Linked DNA regions of Cricetulus griseus. The protein of the gene in region 3 interacts with the protein of the main gene of each other region in a pairwise test. Links are inferred from orthologs where the notes say so. Each region holds a gene or a part of one and is shown on either strand. Other genes may lie near its edges. The genes, in order: Eloa, Ccndbp1, Cul5, Htt and Golga2.

Region 1 (4,011 bases), on a different chromosome or scaffold from region 3:
TAAAGCCAATTAACATCTCCTGAAAGTGAAATCTGGCATTATTAGAAGGAGTTAAAATGGGTGGTTCTTCTCCAATGTGAATCCCTAGAAGGAAGACATTTACATAGCATCTACTGTGTGCCAGTATCATGCTAAGTTTGTCTCATTTGACCTTGTCTAGTGGGTATTATTCTATTTTACCCATATTGAAACTGGTTCCACAGCTTAACAAGCCAAGAAAACACCTAACATTAAAAAAAGGAACATGGGGACCAGAGAGATGGCTCAGGGGTTAAAACCACTGACTGCTCTTTCAGAGGACCCAGGTTCAATTCCCAGCACCCACATGGGCGCTCATAACTGTATGTAACTCCAGTTCCAGGGGACCTGATGCTCTTACACAGACATGCATGCAGGCCAGACCTTGGCTGAATGTAGAATGAATACATAGCATATTTACATTTAAAGCACCAAAGCCCAATAGCAGAAGTCCCAGAGACAGGTGTGAAATCAGCCTTTTGGCTAATAATGGTCTGGAAGCAAGATCTGGTTGCAAATTCAATACTGCTCTATAATCATCTTGCCATTTCAAGAACCTGTGAGAGCTTGCTGTGTTAAGAGGAGGTTGGAAAGCCAGTATGCCAGCTTGCAATTTTCCCTCTGCAGTCAGCTTGTTTCTGAATGTCAACTATCTGGCCCTTTGGAAAGGGGTCTCACCGTTCTCCTAACATTGCTCACCTCACACCACCACCCCAATGGGCACAGAACCCAGGAGCCCATATAGCTGCTACTGAACTGCATCCCAGCCCCAAGGTAATTTTCTATCTAGGAAAAGAAAAGCCAAATAGGGCTTTCAGTGGTAGAGTGATTGCCTACTGGTGTTAGCACATGAGTCCCTGGGTTCAAGCACCAGCACCACAGAACCACCACCAACCAAAACAACAAAAACACCACAACACCCTCTGAAAAAAATGACTAGTGGTTCAAGAAAACCTCCATAAGGCCGGGCGTTGGTGGCACACGCCTTTAATCCCAGCACTTGGGAGGCAGAGGCAGGCGGATCTCTGTGAGTTCGAGACCAGCCTGGTCTACAAGAGCTAGTTCCAGGTCTGTCTCCAAAGCCACAGAGAAACTCTGTCTCGAAAAACCAGGAAAAAAAAAAAAAAAAAGAAAGAAAAAAAGAAAAAAGAAAAACTACATAAACTTTTCCTAACTCAACATTTCATGCACAACTAGACAGGCCATTTCAAAATCTAAATTCTAACAGGGAAAAAAATCCTACAGATAGTATATGGAGAACTTTTTATCTTAATCTAATGGGACAGAATGACCAAATGAGGGTGTTACTTTAAGGTCAGTCGCAAATCTTAAAGTGTACTGGTACTTGAAATTAATGACCATTTATTAGATGCCCACAAAGGGTTATTGTAAATGACTGACGGAGGGTACCAAAGCCTCCATGGAAAGTAAAACACAAGACAACTGGAAACACTTAAGTTTTCACTGATTTAGAACACAGCTTTCTGAAGAAACGTATCTGCGAACAGAATGAGGTTGTTAAAAAGTGGCCTGGGGATGAGAGGGAGCGTGAAACCTTCAAAAATGACTCCGTGACTCGCTAGGAACTCTGAGTAAATGGGGTCCTGGGCTGGAAATTCTGAAAGATGGCGATTATACACTTACAGAGCACTTGGGTCCAGCTGGCATTTCAGGAAGAAACTAGTGGCAGGCTGAGCAAAGACCTACCCCAAAGTCCAGAGCTGGTGCTGGATGGGAACCTAGAGTGCACTTGGAAGTCAGTGCGCTGCCTCCCTCCCTCCACTACTTCCTCTTCCACTCAGCTCGCCGCCGCCGGAGACTTCTTCACCTTTTAGGAACCGCGGGCCCAGGCTAGAGCGCTGACAAGCAACGTCACACCCTTCGGTATTTTCACCCAGAGACTTCAATGGACACTATTCTAACTTCCATCACTATCCTGGACCACTGAGAAGCCGGGTCACCGGGAGACGAGGAGGGGGAACAACGTGTTTAAGGTAACAGTTTCTAACAGAAGCAACAAAGTAGTTAAGTGCAATTAAACATGGTTCCTCGTCGCCGGCGGCTCCCACCTTCCCTAAGTCAGAGACGTGTCATAAATACTCTCTCGCCCTCGCCCAAGACCCGCGCTCCAGGAGCAGGGATCGAAAACCCGAGGCTTCCCCCGTTTGCCCGGTTAAAGGGCAGAGGGGAGCGCGGGGTCCTCGCGACGGGGAGCGGCCGAGCCACGGACATCAACCCGCCGGACGGCCGCTCGGCGGGGCCGGCGAAGCAGCTGGCGCGGCCGCCCGAGCCCGGGGAAAGCGGGAAGGCCCGGCCGGCAGCCGCCCGGCCCCGCTCCAGTCCTCGGCACCCAGCCCGGAGCGCCCGCCGGCTGCGAACTCCGAACTCCTCGCTGCCCCGCGCCGCTCCGCGGGGCCTGGCTCCGGGTCTGAGGAGGACCCGGCCGCACCCGGCCCGCGACCGTTACCGGGCCCGCGCCGAGCCCAACGCCCGCCCGCGCCTCCCGCCCGCCGGCCGCTCACCTTCTTAGGATCGGGGTTCGCGGCCAGGCGCGCCTGCAGCTTCTCCACAACTTGGAGCGCCGACTCCGCCGCCATCGCTGTCACTGGCGCGGCCTCCTCGCCGGAACTGGGCTCGCGTTGCGTCCTCGGGCCGCAACTCCGCCCTCTGTGCGGCCCCGGCGGAGACGGAAGCGCGAATGGTCCCTTCCGGGCCTCCGCTGGGGGGCGTGTGGGGACGGCCTCAGGACCTGCCCCCGCGCCAGACCACGCCCACAACATCTCCGCGATCCGCCCTGCTCCGACACCGGCAGCAGGCCACGCCCCCGACACACCCAGCCCAGAGCCACGCCTCCGGACACGCCCCCTGGCCTTGTGTCCCGGCAGAGGCGCTGAAATCCGCTAGCCAAATTCGGGCTCACTCTGTCCCGTTCCGCGAGCCACACCCTCATCTACACCTGACGGTGGTGTCAGTGCTTGGGTCCAGGGTCCCACAGAGACCCCAGGGGCCATCCTGGGACCCTTGGAGTGAAAGGAAAGAGCTGACTCCTGTAAATTATTTGATATCCACCTAAAAGCTGTGGCACACCCATACAACAAGAAATCGTGTAATTTAAAGTAACTTAACAGTATTGTAATTTTGGTAAAGAGCAATCCAGATTGCTCTGTGTCTGCTTCCAAGGCAATTTGAAACACTAGAAACAAAAGTAACAACAATACATTTCCAACCATCTTGTCTTCAATTGCAGAAAGCAGTCCAGTCCTGTTTTCTAGTTCAAATGACATTCTTTTTTTTTTTTTTTTTTTTTTTTTTTTTTTTTTTTTTTTGAGACAGGGTTTCTCTGTGTAGCTTTGGAGCCTGTCCTGGCACTCGCTCTGGAGACCAGGCTGGCCTCGAACTCACAGAGATCCGCCTGCCTCTGCCTCCCAAGTGCTGGGATTAAAGGCGTGTGCCACCAACGCCCGGCTTCAAGTGACATTCTTAAGGTGAGACATACTATGCTAAGTGAGGGACACTAGTTCTAGGGGTGTCCCCGAAGGCCTCTCGTGCCCTAAGCTCCACCTCTCTCTCTCTTAGGAAGAGGCATCGCCTGAACTTGCTTGGATGATGGGAGTAAAGACCAGTGACAACCTGAGTTCTAGTTCCTGAGCCCACGATGGCTTCTGGTCATTATGGAAACCCTGACATTGTTTCCTCCTACTTACTAGATTTGTGAGACCTATGTTAAGAAACTGGCACACAGCAGTCTTGGAAAATGATGAATTAGGCACGGTGTGGTGGTTCTGGCTGTTAATCCCAACTCACTTAGGTTGAGGATTAGGTGTTTATTAAAAGCCAGCCAGGACTACATGAGACCCTATGTGAAAAAAGGAAAGAGGGGACTTATTCTGGGCGTTGGTGGTGCACGCCATTAATCCCAGAACTCAGGAGGCAGAGGCAGGCGGATCTCTGTGAGTTCAAGGCCAGCCTTGACTACAAGAGCTAGTTCCAGAA
Region 2 (4,041 bases), on a different chromosome or scaffold from region 3:
AAGGTGTCCAGAGTGCCATTTTATGCCTAGGGAACCTGTGGAGACTTGGGCTGGACCTTGACCACTCTAGAAACATTACTTCCCAGCCTGTTTTCCCACGGATTATGGGTTTTCTGCTTCCTTAGTTGGGGCCGTTTTTAACTAATCAAATAAATGAATGAATGATAAATATCACGAATGTTGGGCTGGAAAAATAGCATGGTAGTTAAGAGCATGTACTTCACGCTGGGCAGTGGTGGCACACACGTTTAGTCCCAGCACTTGGGAGGCAGAGGCAGGAGGATCTCTGTGAGTTCGACACCCGCCTGGTCTACAAGAGCTAGTTCCACAACAGCCTCCAAAGCCACAGAGAAACCCTGCCTCGAAAAACTAAAAAAAAAAACAAAAAAAAACAAAAAAAAAAACATGTACTTCCTGAGTTCAATTTCCAGCAACTATGTCAGGTGGCTCCAGGTTAGAGCCTCTGTGGGTCCTTTGCATTCATGTGTGCACAGACTTATACATAGCATAATAGAATATAAATATTAAAAGAAAGATCGGGGCTGGAGAGATGATTCACTGATTAAGAGCATTGGCTGCTCTCCCAGAGGACCCTGGTTCAATATCCAGCACCCACATGGCAGCTTTCTATAACTCCAGTTCTAGGGAATCTGACACCCTCACACAGACATACATTCAGACAAAACACCAATGCATATAAAAATTTTTTAAAAAACTAAAAAGAAATACCACACGGATCTGTACTGTAGCTAAACATTGGAACCATGGTGTCTGGGGCTTGGAGAAAGAGTCACAACGGGGATGTCACAGGCAGACTTGCCAGCAAAAAACTCAAGACACATAAAATGGCAAAAAAAAAAAAAAAAAAAAAGTGGTCAGGTCTCTAGTAGGTCAGAGAACGCATGGCTGGGTCTTTAGAAGGCGTGGCAGGTGTGGCAGGGTGTCAAGGTGGGGTGGGGGAGAGGGGCAGGGCCGGGCGCCTGGACCCGAGTCCCAGTCTGTAGGCCTGCTGGGAACCGGCAGCCTGGTGAAGGAGGAGTGTCTGAGTCTCTAGGCCCCGCAGGGGAGCTGTGGGCGGGTCTCTAGGAAAGGGAGGCGTGGCCTGATCTCTAAGTGGATCGGGCAAGAGTAGGCGGGTCTGTAGGCGGAGGGAGGCGTGGCCTGACGGCCTGGCTGTCCGGGAAGGCGGGGTCGCGTCACTGAGGAGGAAGGGGCGGGGCGTGATGTGTCTTGCCGGAAGCGAGAGGTGTTTTCGGCACCGGAAATACAGCGGCAGGGGCCGAACGGCTTAAGCGTCCTAGCTAAGGTACGCTGTGAGACGCTGTGATGGCGAGTTCGGCAGCCGCAGCCTCCTTCCTTGCTCCGACTCTGGAGCAGCTCCGGCACCTGGCAGCGGAGCTGCGGTCACTTCTGCCTCTAGTGAGGGGTGAGTTGTGGGAATCTGAGGCCCGGGGCTCCGGGTAGGGCGGCGGTCGGGCGTCACGTCAGGTGACGTGTCTTTTGCTCACCTGTCTTTTGCTTTGGTGGTCCGGCCTCCCACGCTACACCCTCAAGTCGGCGAAGCCCAGGAGACAGCCGAGGAATTTAATCGAGAGATGTTCTGGAGAAGACTTAGTGAGTTTCTCTGCCGTTGCAGACTCTTCCCTCCTCACTCCTGCCTCCTAACCTCTTTCCCCTCTGTTGTCCCAAGAGGAGGTGACAATCCCTCCCGGCCTCGGGACGATTTCTGGAGTTGTTTTGGAGTTGTTTATGATGATAAGGGTGGAGAAGGGATGCGTTATCTTAAAAAATCCGTGTAGTGGTTGCAGCTTCCACCTTTAACACTAACTTTGGTATCCGCCGCCTCTACCACCCCCAGATGAGGCAGCAGTGAACCTGTCAGGGGAAGCCACGATTCTGACCACACTTTTCTCCCGACTTCCACTGCCGTCTCCACGGGTGAGCTTTACTTCCTGGGATTTGTGTGCTGCCTCTAGTTTTCTTGTCACCCTTTACCCTCAAGCCACGTTTATTTTCTTCATTTATTTAATGAGATTATAGTTCTTACCGCATAGGATTGTTGTGAGGACCAAATAGCCAAGTGCAAACGGTAGAAAGGTCTTTCAAATTCAGTCAGGTTAGTTCCTCGGAATTTTAAAAGCTCTTTTTGATTTATAGCTGTTTCTCATACATACTCCCCATCTGACAGATGAGCTAGTAAGTTTAGAGACTTGGATCAAGATTAATAAATGGTGGAGGTGGAGTTAAAAGCCTACAAAGTATCTAAGCAACAGCTATTGCACAATACCCTTTAGTATTAAACTGTTTACCTTTTTATTTAATTACTAATATGTGGATAAAGTTCAAAAGATACCAGAGTACACTAAAATACATGTATATATCTTCCCACCCCAGTTTATCTTTCTATTTCGTTCCCATTTCCTTCTGTATTACTCCATACAATTTGTTCTATGTATATATACATCGCTCTGTGTGTGCTTCTTTTTACACAGTGGTTAGATACTATAAGCATTGTTCTAGACCTTTTAAAAAGTAATATAGCTTAGAAGTTGACTTTTTTTTTTTTTTTTTTTTTTTTTTTTTGGTTTTTCGAGACAGGGTTTCTCTGTGGCTTTGGAGACTGGAACTAACTCTTGTAGACCAGGCTGGCCTCAAACTCACAGAGATCCGCCTGCCTCTGCCTCATGAGTGCTGGAGTTAAAGGCATGGGCCACCACCATCCAGCTAGAAGTTGATTCTTAATGACACATAAAAAAGTTGCTTAGTTCTTTGTAATACTTGATGTAGAGTAACTATAGCTATAAACAATAGCCCAGGTGGACATTTTAAACTGTTTCTAACTTGCAACTATTGTAAATGGCACTGTAGTGAATTGTCAGTTATAATCTTTGCATACATATATGTATTAATAGAAAAAAATTCCAGAGGTGAACTTACAGGAACAAAGAATTAATGCATTTTAAATAATCGTTTATTATGTAACCAAAAGTAAAGCTGGATATTGGCTGTGATCAACCAACATGTGAATGCCCTGTGCCATATTTTTCTAGAGCTACATGTACTTCAGAGTAGTTTATTTTTTTGTTAAATGTTTATTTCATGTCTATGAGTATTTTGCTTGCATGTATGTGCATATGAATTCTGTGCTTAGTATCTATCCATGGAGGCCAGAAGAGGGCACTGGATTCTCTGGAACTAGAGTTAAGGATGGTTGTGAGCTTCCATGTGGGTGCTGGGAACTGAATCTGGGTCCTCTATAAGAGCAGCCAATGCTCTTAACCTCTGAGCCATCTCTCCAGCCCAAAGAGTAGGTTATTTTATGACGACATAGTCGTTGCCTCAATTTTCATAGTAGTTTCAATAACTATGTATCCAGATGTTGTATTTTTGTTTATTTTTTCACTCACATATAACTATACAAATACTCTACTACTGAGCTACACATGCATGAATGTTTTCTTTTGGTTTTATTGGTTTTCTAGAGACATGGTTTCTCTGTGGAGCTCTGGCTGTTCTGGAACTCACTCTGTAGATCAGGCTGGCTTTGAACTTGGAGATCTGTCTGCCTCTGCCTCCTGAGTGCTGGTATTAAAGGTGTGCGCCACCACCTAGTATGAATGTCTTAATGTGATAGAAAGTTCCTTTTACAACATAAAATTATAAAAATACATACCCCTCTTTCCTGTACTTTTTGTTGTGTTTTTTTTTTTTTTTTTGTTTGTTTGTTTTTCCAGACAGGGTTTCTCTGTGTAGCTTTGGAACCTATCCTGGCACTTGCTCTGTAGACCAGGCTGGCCTCGAACTCACAGAGATCCACCTGCCTCTGCCTCCCTAGTGCTGGGATTAAAGGCATGAGCCACCGACGCCTGGCTCTTTTTGGTTTTTTGAGATAGGGTTTCTTTGTGTAGCTCTGGCCATCCTGGAACTAGCTGTATAGACCGGACTGGTCTAGATCTCAGAGATCCATCTGCCTCTGCCTCTGCCTCTGCCTCTGCCTCCTGAGTGCTGGTACTGGGATTAAAGGTGTGTGCCACTACTGCC
Region 3 (4,263 bases):
GTGAGAACTTTCATTTTAAAGTATTCCAGATGGTACATTTTATAAATGACTTATTGCCCCACAAATGCTAGGCAAGCTCTTAGACACACACACTCACACACACACACACACACACTCTCTCTTTCCCCCTGACTCGCCCCACTCCCAGATGATTTAGAATTCATCTTTGTAGCAGAAGGGCATCGAACCTGCAATCCTCCTGCCTTAGCCTCCTGTAAGCTTACAGGTCTTACCCACCAGGCCTGGCAAATATGTAATTTAAAAATATATAATATATAATATATAAATTTTGCAGGGCGGCAGAGTCAGTTTGATCTCTGTGAGTTTGAGGCCAGCCTGGTCTACAAGGAAAGTTCCAGGACAGTCAGAGCTGTTACACAGTGAAACTCTGTCTCAAAAAACCAAAAATAAATAAATGAAATAAATAAATAAAATTCAAGGGTCCATGGAGCTTGCTGGCCACTAGCCTAGTTCAAGGTTCAAGTGACCTGTCTATCTTAAGGCAATGTAGCCAGGGAGCGATAGATGTCTTCATGAACACCTTTATAAAGGTACAAAAGAATGCTGTTAGTGTGGTGGTAGTGATGCTCGCCTTTGGTCCCAGCTCTCGGGAGGCAGAGGCAAGGAGAGCTCTGTGAGTTAAAGGCCAGCAAAGTCTACAGAGGAGTGCCAGGACAGGCTCCAAAGCTACACTGAGAAAACCTAGTTCTAAAAACCAAAAATAAATAAACTCACCCTAAACAAACAAAACATCCCCAACCCCCTAACCAAATGTTAGGAATTTGCATAATGCAATAACAGCCAACCTGTGAGATCCCTATATAAACTCTATTCTCTTGTTTAGAGATTCGTGATTTGAAGAGACACAGTTTGGAGAAAATAGTATAGGATGCTCTAGGTCTAGGATTTTTTTAAAAGAGTTTTTTGTTTGTTTTTAAGATTTATTACATATATACTGTTCTATCTACAAGCCAGGAGAGGGCACCAGATTGAATTGTAGATGGTTGTGAGCCACCATGCGGTTGCTGGGAATTGATCTCAGGACCTCCGGAAGAGCAGTCAGTGCTCTTAACCTCTGAGCCATCTCTCTCCAGCCCCTAGGATATGTTTGAAGGAGTCCGAGATTAATAAACACTTCTTGAACAAGCCGGGCATTTTTGAGCAGAGTGATGCTAGTTAACACGTTCGTACATCCATTTACTAAACGAGTAAATCTTGACTGGGCGCCTTTTCCCCGAGTCAGTCTTTACAGAGGACAGCAGTAAAAAAAAAAAAAAAAAAAAAAACCCTTTCCTGGCTAATCTCATCCAGAGCTGCGAATGAATCGCAGTCCCCGGATCTGGGGCGGCGAGCGGGTGGGGCGGCGCCGGCTCCAGCCAATAGGGGGCGCGCTCCGCCCTGCTCCCTGCCTCCGGACCCAGCGGCTTGCAGGCTCCTCGGTTGCTCCCAAGCACGCCCCCGCCCGCAGCGTCACGTGACGCCACCACGGAACCCAAGGAGCCGGGCCTAAGCCGAGTTAAAAGTCGTTGCCGGCGGCCGCCGCGAGTGCAACCCGAGAGGCTCACCCGGAGACGAGTGTGGCAGGCCCGGGGAGGTAGATGCTACCTTTTCCCGGTCAGGTCGGCTCCCGGTCCCTTGCCACCATTCGCCGCTCGCGTCTCCTTGAGCCTTTGCATGCGCTCTCTCGCGTGAGCAGGCCCCGGTTACCATGTAGCGGGAAAGCCTGAGGGAGCACGGGTGCCGGGTACGAGCTCAGCGCTGACGGCACGCAGCTTCGGCGTGTGTGGCCCCCCTTCCCCCTTCCGCCCCCCGCATCTCTGCCGCGGCCCGCGGGGCCCTGCTGGGAACTCCGGCCTCCCGAGGAGGCCTGGCCCCGAGCGCCGCCAATTCTCGCCGCCGCCTCTCGCGAGAGTCCAAGTTGAAGGAACATGGCGACATCTAATCTGTTAAAGGTAAGCCCCTGTCTCCAGCCGGGTTTCTGCTCGCGGCCGACGCGTTTAGTTCCTGGGTGAGCACCGGGCTCCGAGTGAGCGGCGAGATGTGAGAGTGTCTCAGGCTTGTCCACCGGAAGGGACCCGGGACGGCTGCCCCGAATACCCCGACGCCGGGCCCTGGCCTCGGGGTCCAGAGGCTTCGGTGGTTGCTCCCGCTGACTGACTGACTGACTGACTGACTGACTGACTGACTGGGAGGGATGCTTTCAAGGGACCAACCCAGGCTGCGGGCGACAGCAGTGTCGCTGGGCCCCCGGCGGGCGGCCCAGCCATTGTGACTCTTAGGGTCCGTTTCTTCCGAAGCGAGAGTCAAAGACATAATAGGAAAATTCTCGACAAAATGCTGCCTAGCAGGTTTTGACTAGGACCCCCCCCCCCCCGCTTCCTCCCCGGTTCCTTAATTTCTGTTCTCACTCTGCCTCCAGGAAATGCGAGTCAGATAGCAGTGCCTCCCACTCCGCCCCGTTTCTCCCTTTTCTGCATGTTACATCTTCCCTCCAGTTCTCTTGTTCTTGACTTCATGTTCCCATGCTTTTTGTTCCTCGAGGAACTGTCTCTCCCAAGCCTCGACTCCCCTTAGAGGACATCAGGTGACACCCGATGAAGTGCCACCGTCTTTTTAGCTGGTGGGAAAGTTTTTCTTATCAAAGAAGACATTGGGAAGTTTTTAAGTGTCAAGAAAGGCCCGGGGTTGGGGGATGGGGGGCAAATTCTGTTAAAAACTTAGGTAAGGACTGAGGAAGATATGGGGCAGGTTTGAGCTATTTGTGTTTTTAGTTAAGAGTCCTGTCCTAAAAGTATTGACTGAAATGGGGGTAGTGATTACCTGAGGGAAAATAAACACTGTATTCAGGCTCTGTGGATGAATAATAATAATGAAATAGAGAATGTGCCCTCCCCCCCCCCAAAAAAAAGCAGGGTCTCTTTAGCCCCATCTTGCCAGAATTTGCTGTATAACTCAGCAGGCCTCAAACTCACAGAACTGCCTCTGTCTGTGCTGAGATTGAAGACTTGCATCACCACCCTGGAGAGTCCTTTAAAAGGACCTAGATTCCCTGAATTTGTCTCTTGTTTTTTTCTTTGTTTGTTTTGTTTTGTTTTTTAAGACAGGATTTCTCAGGTAGCCTTGGCTGTCCTTGAACTAGCTCTGTAGAGCAGTGTGGCTTTGAACTCAGTGATCTGCTTGTCTGCCACCCTCTTCCCCAGTGATGGAATAAAAGCCATGTGCCACCACACCCATCTGAATTTCTGTCTCTTAAGAGCTTCATGGTATTGAGTTCCTTAACCTCTGCCCAAGCTTCTTCCTTCAGGAAGATGAAATTATCAGTACCATTTTTCATAGCCCTGTTGTGATCAAATGATTTACTTATGATGCTTTAAAAACAGTGATTGCACTTAATATGCAATTCACTAAAGCACTAGAACTTCTGTGCCTATTCCTATAGGAAAACCATTGGGCAGTGGCAACACACACTTTTAATCACAGCACTTGAGAGGCAGAGCAGGTGGAGGCCAGCCTGGTCTACAAAAACAAGTTCCAGGACAACCAGGGCTGTTAATACAGACAAGTTGTTACCCTGTCTTGAAAAACAGCTAACAAGAAGAAATAAACTAAAAAGAAAAAAGAAAAAAAAAAAGAAGAAAGAAAAACAGGTAAAACTGGGCCTGGGGTTGCAGGTCATTACCAATATGAAGGTCACTGAGGCAGGAGGATCATGAATTCTAGCCTAAACTAGTAGTAGTGAATTTGGAACCAGCTCAGACTACATTATATATAGACTAATTCACAGAAATGATATTACTGACTCTACTCTGCTTTGTTTTTCATAATACTGTAGCAAAATTCTTTTTAACATTTCATTTGTTTGTTTGTTTTTTGTTTTTGTTTTTTCGGGACAGGGTTTCTCTGTAGCTTTGGAGCCTGTCCTGGAATTCACTCTGTAGACCAGGCTGGCCTTGGCTGTCTGCCTCCCGAGTGCTGGGATTAAAGCCACCACTGCTCAGCTTAATCCCAACAACATTCTTAAAGTAGAGGCAGGCTTGATGTCTGAATTCCAGGCCAGCCAGGGCTATTGTCAGATCCTGTCTTTAAAACAAAAAAGAAAAAATAAATAAAAGATAAGAGTCTGAAGTCAGATGTCAAACACACTGCAGAGTTTTTGATGACCTTGTCTTGTGAAATAATAACCATGGGAAAAAGCAAATTTTGGAAATGAATATTATTTAGTATGTGATTTATTTTTTATTTCTTTATAGTTCTGGTTGGTCT
Region 4 (3,513 bases), on a different chromosome or scaffold from region 3:
AGTAAGAAGCCAAGCCCTTTCTTCCCCAACTTGCTTTTTGGTCATGGTTTTTCACCATAGCAACAGAAACTCTAACTAAGGCACAAGTATAACTCAGAAAGACAAGCAGAGCTGGGGATTCCCTGCCCCCCCCCCCCCCCCGATTGCTGCTCTACCGTGCTCATCATGAAGTCATTCATGTCTTCAGCAGGGATGCGATTCACCAACTCTGCACCTTCCAGCAGTGCAGAATCTGATTTGGTCCAACACTGGGATCTTACAAGCTGGAGGTACCAGTCCTGGGAAGAAGAAAAAGAAAAGGTCAATGTGACTGAATAGGCACTTTGGCTGCTCCTCTGGGCTGTGATATAGCACTGTGACTCTGGCTGGCTGTACAGACATCAGACACACCCTGGGCATACAACTCACAAGTCTTCTCTCTGCTGTCCTGTGCCTGAATGTCCTCTTCTTTTCCACCTGTGGAACATCTAGCAGTCCTTGCAAACTCAGCAAAGTTCTGAGGGTTAGCAACCTTTCCTCTACCTGCTACTTAGATAATGCTTCATGTTCACTCTACTGGAATGTGTGTCTCCCTCATCTTCCTCAGCAGTCAGAGCAAGCCTGGGGCAAATGTATGCTTTCTTCCATGAGCTGTAGGTTTCTAAAATCACATCTCCTCTCCCCCAAAGCCCTAACAGCCTCCAACTCTCACGTATGAATGGTGAAGGGGACAATACATTATACTGGGTGGCAGTAGGTGCAACACTTCATAGGAAGTACAAGGTTCAGGGAGAGGGAGGCAGGCTGGCTTGTCAGCATGTGCTAGAACAATGTTTGCAGTCATAGCCCCTGGCCCAGAACCAAATTCTTTTGACTTAACCACTAGCCACCTGACCCTGACTCCACACTCCTCCACAAGAGTTACCCATCATCACTCCTTTTCTCATTAGGACCTCAGGGACTCCATATTACACTCTAATCCCCAAGCCGAGTTGCTAATAACCTGAGCTGAGTGTCAGGGGCCTTGTGTGTACTCACACCTACCCTTACCCTCATTCTAGACAGAGGCTGTCATTGTCTCCACGTGGTCCCTGGTAATCACACTTAGCTATACAGGATACTTACTTTGTCTGGACTCACTGTTTCCAGAGATGTGTGCCCATCCCCATCCAGTGGGTGGGAAGTGACTGGGGGCAAAGGGCTAAGTGAGTCCTGCACAGTAGAGAGTCGGAACCTGTCCAGCAGGGAATAGAGCCTTTGGTGTCTGAAATACAAATGAAACCACAGATCAGTTTGTCCTTTAGTTTGAAATCTCAGTTTTGTAAAGATGGATCCTAGAAACATGTAACATCAATGAACGAAAGTAGCTTCTTAAAACCAGATGCAACATGTTTTGAACTTTCCCTTCAACATTCTATAGTAATGATGCATATTTAGGCCCCAGTTACTTTAAATTACCACAATTGATACCTGGTTGATATTTTCCAGAAACTTCATTTATGCTCAACATTCCATTAGGCAATGCACTACATAACAGCTAAAAAAACTATTCTATTTTTTTCTTGAAGGTACTGGGGATTGAGCCCAGGGACTTGTGCATGCTAGACTAGTGCTCTACTACTGAGCTACACATCCTTAGCCAATGTAATATATGCAAAATAGAAAAATTCTTCTAAGATCCAAGTGTACAAACTCTATTAATTCCCCATAATGACATTCCACCAAAGAATCATTTCATTTGGTCTAAAGTATTATTGTTATAATCTTCCTCATCTTGGTCTATGACTACATCTATAATCAAACAATGATAATTTGCTCTCTTGCCATCTGAAGCCAACATGATACTTCATATGTCAAATGACAACATCATGTGGCTCCGAAGACTGAAAAACCATCCAGGCTATCCTCTATCTCATTAAGAAACACCACCATAAAAACCCTCTGAAGACTAAAATCATGACAGAATCGTCCTCTCCGATGTACATATGTGTGGTCCCCACTCCCATTTGCAGTGGAAGAGATGAGATGAAGGGTTTTCTTAATTTACCTTGTAGACAAGGAACTATGCTCATATTACAGATGGAAATGTTTCTAATAAAGGCTTCTAAAAGATTTTCAAACAGTTATGCAAACAAATAGCTATGAAGAGATGGCACTTAACAAGACATAAATATGATGTGCACATGCTAGGAGTCAGGTAGTGTGGGAGGCCTGGCAGTCTATGGGGCCTCTGGCAGTAGAACCAGTATTTATCCCTATTGGGAGCCCATTCCCTATGGAGGAATTCTATCTCAGCCTAGATACATGGGGGAGGACCTAGGCCCTGCCCCAAATGATGTGACAGACTTTGATGAACCCTTATGGGAGGCTTCACCCTCCCTGGGGAATGGATGGGGGGGGTGGGATGAGGGCTTGGTGGGGGGGCATCAGAGAACAGGAGGGAGAAGGAACTGGGATTGGTATATAAAATACAATTGTTTTTAATTTAAAAAGCCAGTATCCCATGCTGCAGCCTTACCTTTGGGCAAGCCCACTATTCTGGAGGTGCTCCTGGATTCTGTTCAGTTCCTCCACTGGCAACTGGGCCATGCTACTCTACACAGACAAGAACACATTAGGGATTTCATGACATATAACCTCACATCCATTTTAAAAAGATAAACTGCTATGCACAGTACATCTATTAAGAGCAGACTAGAAGCAGTTGGTCAGACATATGAACAACAAACATGGCATACATGCTACTATCAGTAGCCAATCAATTGCAGGTGATAGACTAAATGTTTTGATTGACTTGCTAAGTTTTTATATAAATCACCATCTTTCAGTACCTGTAAATTTGCAGCCAAAAGCATTTCTACCCGGCGACAGGCCAGAGTGTCGACCATGCGAGCCAACGCACGGAAGGGAGTTCCCAGGAGCCTGTCCACATATAGTGTAAGCACAGCACCAGACTGGCTGAGATGGATGCCTTCTAAGCACTGAAGTGTTTTCTTCAGAGTGGTTGGCTAATGTTGAAAGGAACAAGAATTTTTTTCTCAGAATGGTAATGGTACTGACAAAATTCCAGTATTCATTTTTAAGGCAGAGAAAGCAAACTAGCAGGCTAAAGACTTACAGCTGAAAGATTTTCACAACGAGACTGGATTGCCTGGATGAAAAGGCCACTAGCTGCAGAATTACGATGAATGGCACTAATAAAGTCTTGTACTGGAGGCTCATGAGACAGGCTGATCAGATCTTGAATGTGATTCACAATGAGCCATGTTAAGTGTTCTGAGTCATGAAGATTCTGACACTAGAAAAGATATAATAAAAGATATATTTCAAGGAGACAAGGAGGCTAGAAAGAGTAAGAAAAGACAAATTCCATAAACAAACTTTGCCTCAGTGAAGGTAGTGTCTAAGCACAAGTAAATGAGAGAAAGGAAGGAAGGAAACTTAGTTACAGAGCCTTGTACCTCTGATGTCATGTGGTAAAAGCCAAGCCCCAATGGCAATGTCCAGCTCCCAGGGACACTAGCAAATAGCTCA
Region 5 (3,513 bases), on a different chromosome or scaffold from region 3:
GGGGTCCCCAATTCTTGCTGCCAGTCCTGGGCTTCAGTTTCCCCTTGGGGCTCTGAAGAGAGAGACTGGGGGCTCCTGGGACCTAGGGGCAATGGGAAACCTGGGGGCCTCAGTCTCAGCTGGAGGCAGCCAGAGCATAGAGCATGCAGCATGGCTCTTCTCGTTGCTCTCCACCTCTTTTCTGTACTCCAGACTCCTAGCCTGAGTCCTCACCCCACTTGTCCTGAGCTTGGTGCCTCCAGTGGAAGAGATCACAAACCCGATTGGTTGTCAGGAGCCCCATGTCCTGCCCTGGCTTAGGTCCTGATTTGCTCTTTGATTTTGGTTACACCATTCCCTGGGTTTGAGTTTCCTGTTGAGGCAGAGTTGGAGAGTGTCAGAGACCTCTTTCCACTCTTAAGTAGCAAGAGTTTAAAGGCTTACTGAATTGTCAGAACCAAGTGCTCTCCCATTCCTCTCTTGGCTATGCAAGATACAGTCAGTTCTTAATTCAGCACACTGTTCCAAGTCCCCAAGTTGGCAGAAGGTAGTCTTCTTTCTCAAACTCGTTTCTAGTGTTACTGTCCTTTAACTTGGACCCAGATTTAAACCTCTGTTGTATAGTTGTGAATGAGAGGCAGCCAAGACACAGACTGTAGTTTGTTGGGAGCTTGGGAAGTTTGTTGGTTCATGTGCCCATGGGGGTCTGAGCACCTTTTTCAAATCCATCCCCCTGCTCTGTCTTGGTATGGGGTAGCATAAAAGGGGCTAGCCCCAGTCACCTTCCTTTGACTCTTCCCACAGAAACAACAGAACCAAGACACTCTGGATCAACTGGAAAAAGTACTGTGGTTTCTGTGTTTGCTCTTTTCATGGCTGATGGGGTTGTGGGAGGCCTCAGAGTTGCAGATTTTGGTCTTGCTTGATTCTATCCTGGAGAAGACTCACCCCACAGGGTGTCCTCCATAGGATCCTTGATAACCTGTCCTGGGCCACTGGTGGCTTTCTGGGGCTCGTCCATTGCTGGGATTCTGCTTCCCTGCTAAGAACTGCATTTCCCATGCCTGCAGGAGAAGAGGGATTATCAGCAGAAGCTGGCAAAGGAGCAGGGAGCTCTCAGGGAACAACTGCAGGTGAGTGGCCTGTGTGATATCCCTATGTCCCCCAGAGAGCATCTCTCCTTCCTCTCAGCACTTTTGGGGGCTTTTCTTCCAAAGGTTCACATTCAGACCATAGGCATCCTGGTGTCTGAGAAGGCAGAATTACAGACAGCCCTGGCTCACACACAGCAAGCAGCCAGGCAGAAAGCAGGTAGGATCAGAGCATTCTTCAGCCTTGTGCTGACGCCTTGGCAGGCCTGAGGGAGGGTCCCTGGGGCTCCATGTAGACGGCTCTCATTTCAGGAGAGTCAGAGGATCTTGCCAGCCGCCTGCAGTCTTCCCGACAGCGTGTGGGAGAGCTAGAGCGGACGCTGTCTACTGTGTCAACGCAACAGAAACAGGCGGACAAGGTAGGACAAGTTGCCTGTCTGGCCATCAGCAGCTTCCTGGTAGACAGTGAGCTTACAGGACTTTTCTGCATGGTCTAGTGCCTTGCTGCTGACAATTTAGCATGAGCTGTTTGTTGCTGCTTTTGTTGTGAGGTTGGAAGAAGCAAACTGGGGAAGAGTCCACAGCTGGGTAACTGAGGGCTGCACAAGTGAGCTCTGGATGCAAAACCTAGAAGCAGGCTATGACCTCAGCTGGCTGTAACCTTGGCCAAGTGCTGATAGAGGGGATATAGCCCCTGGGCTGTGGAAGTACAGAAGAGCTTATCACTGTGCCACTGTGGGTAGGGTAGTGTGTGTACAATACATGTAGAGTATGTTTGAGATGACTGACAAACTCGGAGCTGGGAACAGGATGACAATCGGGAGGCATTTTGCTTCTATACCCTCTGAGTTTTGGATTGTGTGAATAGACCATCTGTTCAGAAGAGAGCACAAGATCCAAATAGAAATTAACTTTCTTCCTCTTAATTGCAACTCTGGGGGAAAGGGCCTAGAGATTTAGATACCCCAAAATGCTCAAGTTCCATCTCTGCTAAGTGACTTCAAGCCAGCACTTTTGTACACTGTGTTTCTGCCCAGTGGGGGTGACAGCAACTGTTGTCAATGGGTGTGAAGATTGGATAGGTTAGCAGTGAAGTGCTCAGTGCTGTAAATGCCTCAGCCTCCACGTGCTAAGATCAGTCTAAACCACCATGTCCTGGTCCCAGTCTTTTTTCCTGCCTGCTTTGTGCTTATGGAGTTCTTTGTTTGTTTGTTTCTTTTTTTTTTATTTTTCAAGACAGGTTTTTCTGTGTCACCCTGGCTTTCCTGGAACACTCTCTCTGAGATCTGCCTGCCTCTGCCTCCTGAGTACTGGGATTAAAGGTGTGCACCACCACCACCACCACCATCACTTGGTACAGTTCTTTTATTTATATTGTTAAGGTTTATTTACTTTTTAAAAAAAAAAAAAGATTTATTTATTATGTATACAGTATTCTGCCTACTCACCAGCAGAGGGCACCAGATCTCATAGATGGTTATGAGCCACCATGTGGTTGTTGGGAATTGAACTCAGGACCTCTGAAAGAGCAGCCAGTGCTCTTAATCTCTTTTATTTTGTGTGTGTGTGTTGCTTGACTTCATGTATATGCACCTCAAGCATCACTGGCGCCTGCAGAGGGCACTTGGATCCCCTGGAACTGGATTCACCATGTTGGTGCTGGAAACCAAACCCAGGTCTTCTGGAAGAACACCTGGCCCTTTTACTGAGTTTTTCCTTTTTTGTTGTTGTTTTGTAGTCCTGAATAGCTTGGAACTCAGAGAGATCTGCCTACCTCTGCCTCCCAAGTGCTGGAATTAAAGGGTTGTCCCACCACAGCCTGGTTCAGGAGTTCTTATTAAACAAAACAAAAGGAGTGTGTGTTGGGGGGTTGGGTGTTTTCGAAGCACTCAGGAGGCAGCCTGGTCTACATAGTGAGTTCCACCACAACCAGGGCTATATAGAGAGGATCCTGTCTCAAAAAATAAAAAATTTAAATAATTCTTTTTTAATAAAGAGTGAGCCAGATGGAGTGACACATCCCTGTAATTCTAGCACTTGAAAGAGAAAGGCCAGCCCCGTCTGCCTGAGACTGTCTCATAAAACCAAAATAATTGCTGGGAAGGTGACACATAGCTGTGATCTCAGCATGGGGAGGCCGAGACAGGAGGGTTCAAGGCTAGCTTGGGCTATAGTATAGATTCTAGGCTTGCCTGGTTGCTTAGACCCTGCTTCAGGAGAAAAAATGAAAGAGAGCTAGTGTATGATTGGTCAGTGATAGAGTAACTGATTAGCCTATACAAGAACTTGAGTTTGGTTCCCAGCTTTGTAAAAAAAATATTATTAATTAAAAACAAAAACAGGGCTGGAGAGATGGCTTAGCAGTTCAGAGCACAGGCTGCTCTTCCAGAGGATTCAGGTTTGATTCCCAGTTACCCACATGGTGGCTCACAACTATCCATAA

What was found.
Region 1: the proteins of Cul5 (region 3) and Eloa come close enough for resonance energy transfer, tested with the Homo sapiens proteins (3 studies listed by BioGRID). The link is inferred for Cricetulus griseus from reciprocal best matches to the Homo sapiens genes CUL5 and ELOA.
Region 2: the proteins of Cul5 (region 3) and Ccndbp1 interact in binary tests that used the Homo sapiens proteins (3 or more experiments, as listed by UniProt). The two-hybrid records come from large-scale screens. The link is inferred for Cricetulus griseus from reciprocal best matches to the Homo sapiens genes CUL5 and CCNDBP1.
Region 4: the proteins of Cul5 (region 3) and Htt interact in binary tests that used the Homo sapiens proteins (3 or more experiments, as listed by UniProt). The link is inferred for Cricetulus griseus from reciprocal best matches to the Homo sapiens genes CUL5 and HTT.
Region 5: the proteins of Cul5 (region 3) and Golga2 interact in binary tests that used the Homo sapiens proteins (3 or more experiments, as listed by UniProt). The two-hybrid records come from large-scale screens. The link is inferred for Cricetulus griseus from reciprocal best matches to the Homo sapiens genes CUL5 and GOLGA2.

What each region holds. Positions count from the first base shown.
Region 1 is NC_048595.1:17,291,674-17,295,684, reverse strand, and holds the start of Eloa (elongin-A), read right to left. Parts: upstream 2,814-4,011; 5' UTR 2,799-2,813; coding exon 2,541-2,798; intron 1-2,540. UniProt on the Homo sapiens protein: SIII, also known as elongin, is a general transcription elongation factor that increases the RNA polymerase II transcription elongation past template-encoded arresting sites.
Region 2 is NC_048599.1:57,429,863-57,433,903, reverse strand, and holds the start of Ccndbp1 (cyclin-D1-binding protein 1), read left to right. Parts: upstream 1-1,238; 5' UTR 1,239-1,326; coding exon 1,327-1,426; intron 1,427-1,554; coding exon 1,555-1,614; intron 1,615-1,858; coding exon 1,859-1,938; intron 1,939-4,041. UniProt on the Homo sapiens protein: May negatively regulate cell cycle progression. May act at least in part via inhibition of the cyclin-D1/CDK4 complex, thereby preventing phosphorylation of RB1 and blocking E2F-dependent transcription.
Region 3 is NC_048597.1:165,392,441-165,396,703, reverse strand, and holds the start of Cul5 (cullin-5), read left to right. Parts: upstream 1-1,452; 5' UTR 1,453-1,928; coding exon 1,929-1,952; intron 1,953-4,263. UniProt on the Homo sapiens protein: Core component of multiple cullin-5-RING E3 ubiquitin-protein ligase complexes (ECS complexes, also named CRL5 complexes), which mediate the ubiquitination and subsequent proteasomal degradation of target proteins.
Region 4 is NW_023276807.1:103,856,173-103,859,685, reverse strand, and holds part of Htt (huntingtin), read right to left. Parts: intron 3,278-3,513; coding exon 3,098-3,277; intron 2,988-3,097; coding exon 2,811-2,987; intron 2,575-2,810; coding exon 2,498-2,574; intron 1,244-2,497; coding exon 1,105-1,243; intron 279-1,104; coding exon 156-278; intron 1-155.
Region 5 is NC_048599.1:144,032,362-144,035,874, forward strand, and holds part of Golga2 (golgin subfamily A member 2), read left to right. Parts: intron 1-783; coding exon 784-822; intron 823-1,049; coding exon 1,050-1,112; intron 1,113-1,196; coding exon 1,197-1,290; intron 1,291-1,382; coding exon 1,383-1,489; intron 1,490-3,513. UniProt on the Homo sapiens protein: Peripheral membrane component of the cis-Golgi stack that acts as a membrane skeleton that maintains the structure of the Golgi apparatus, and as a vesicle thether that facilitates vesicle fusion to the Golgi membrane.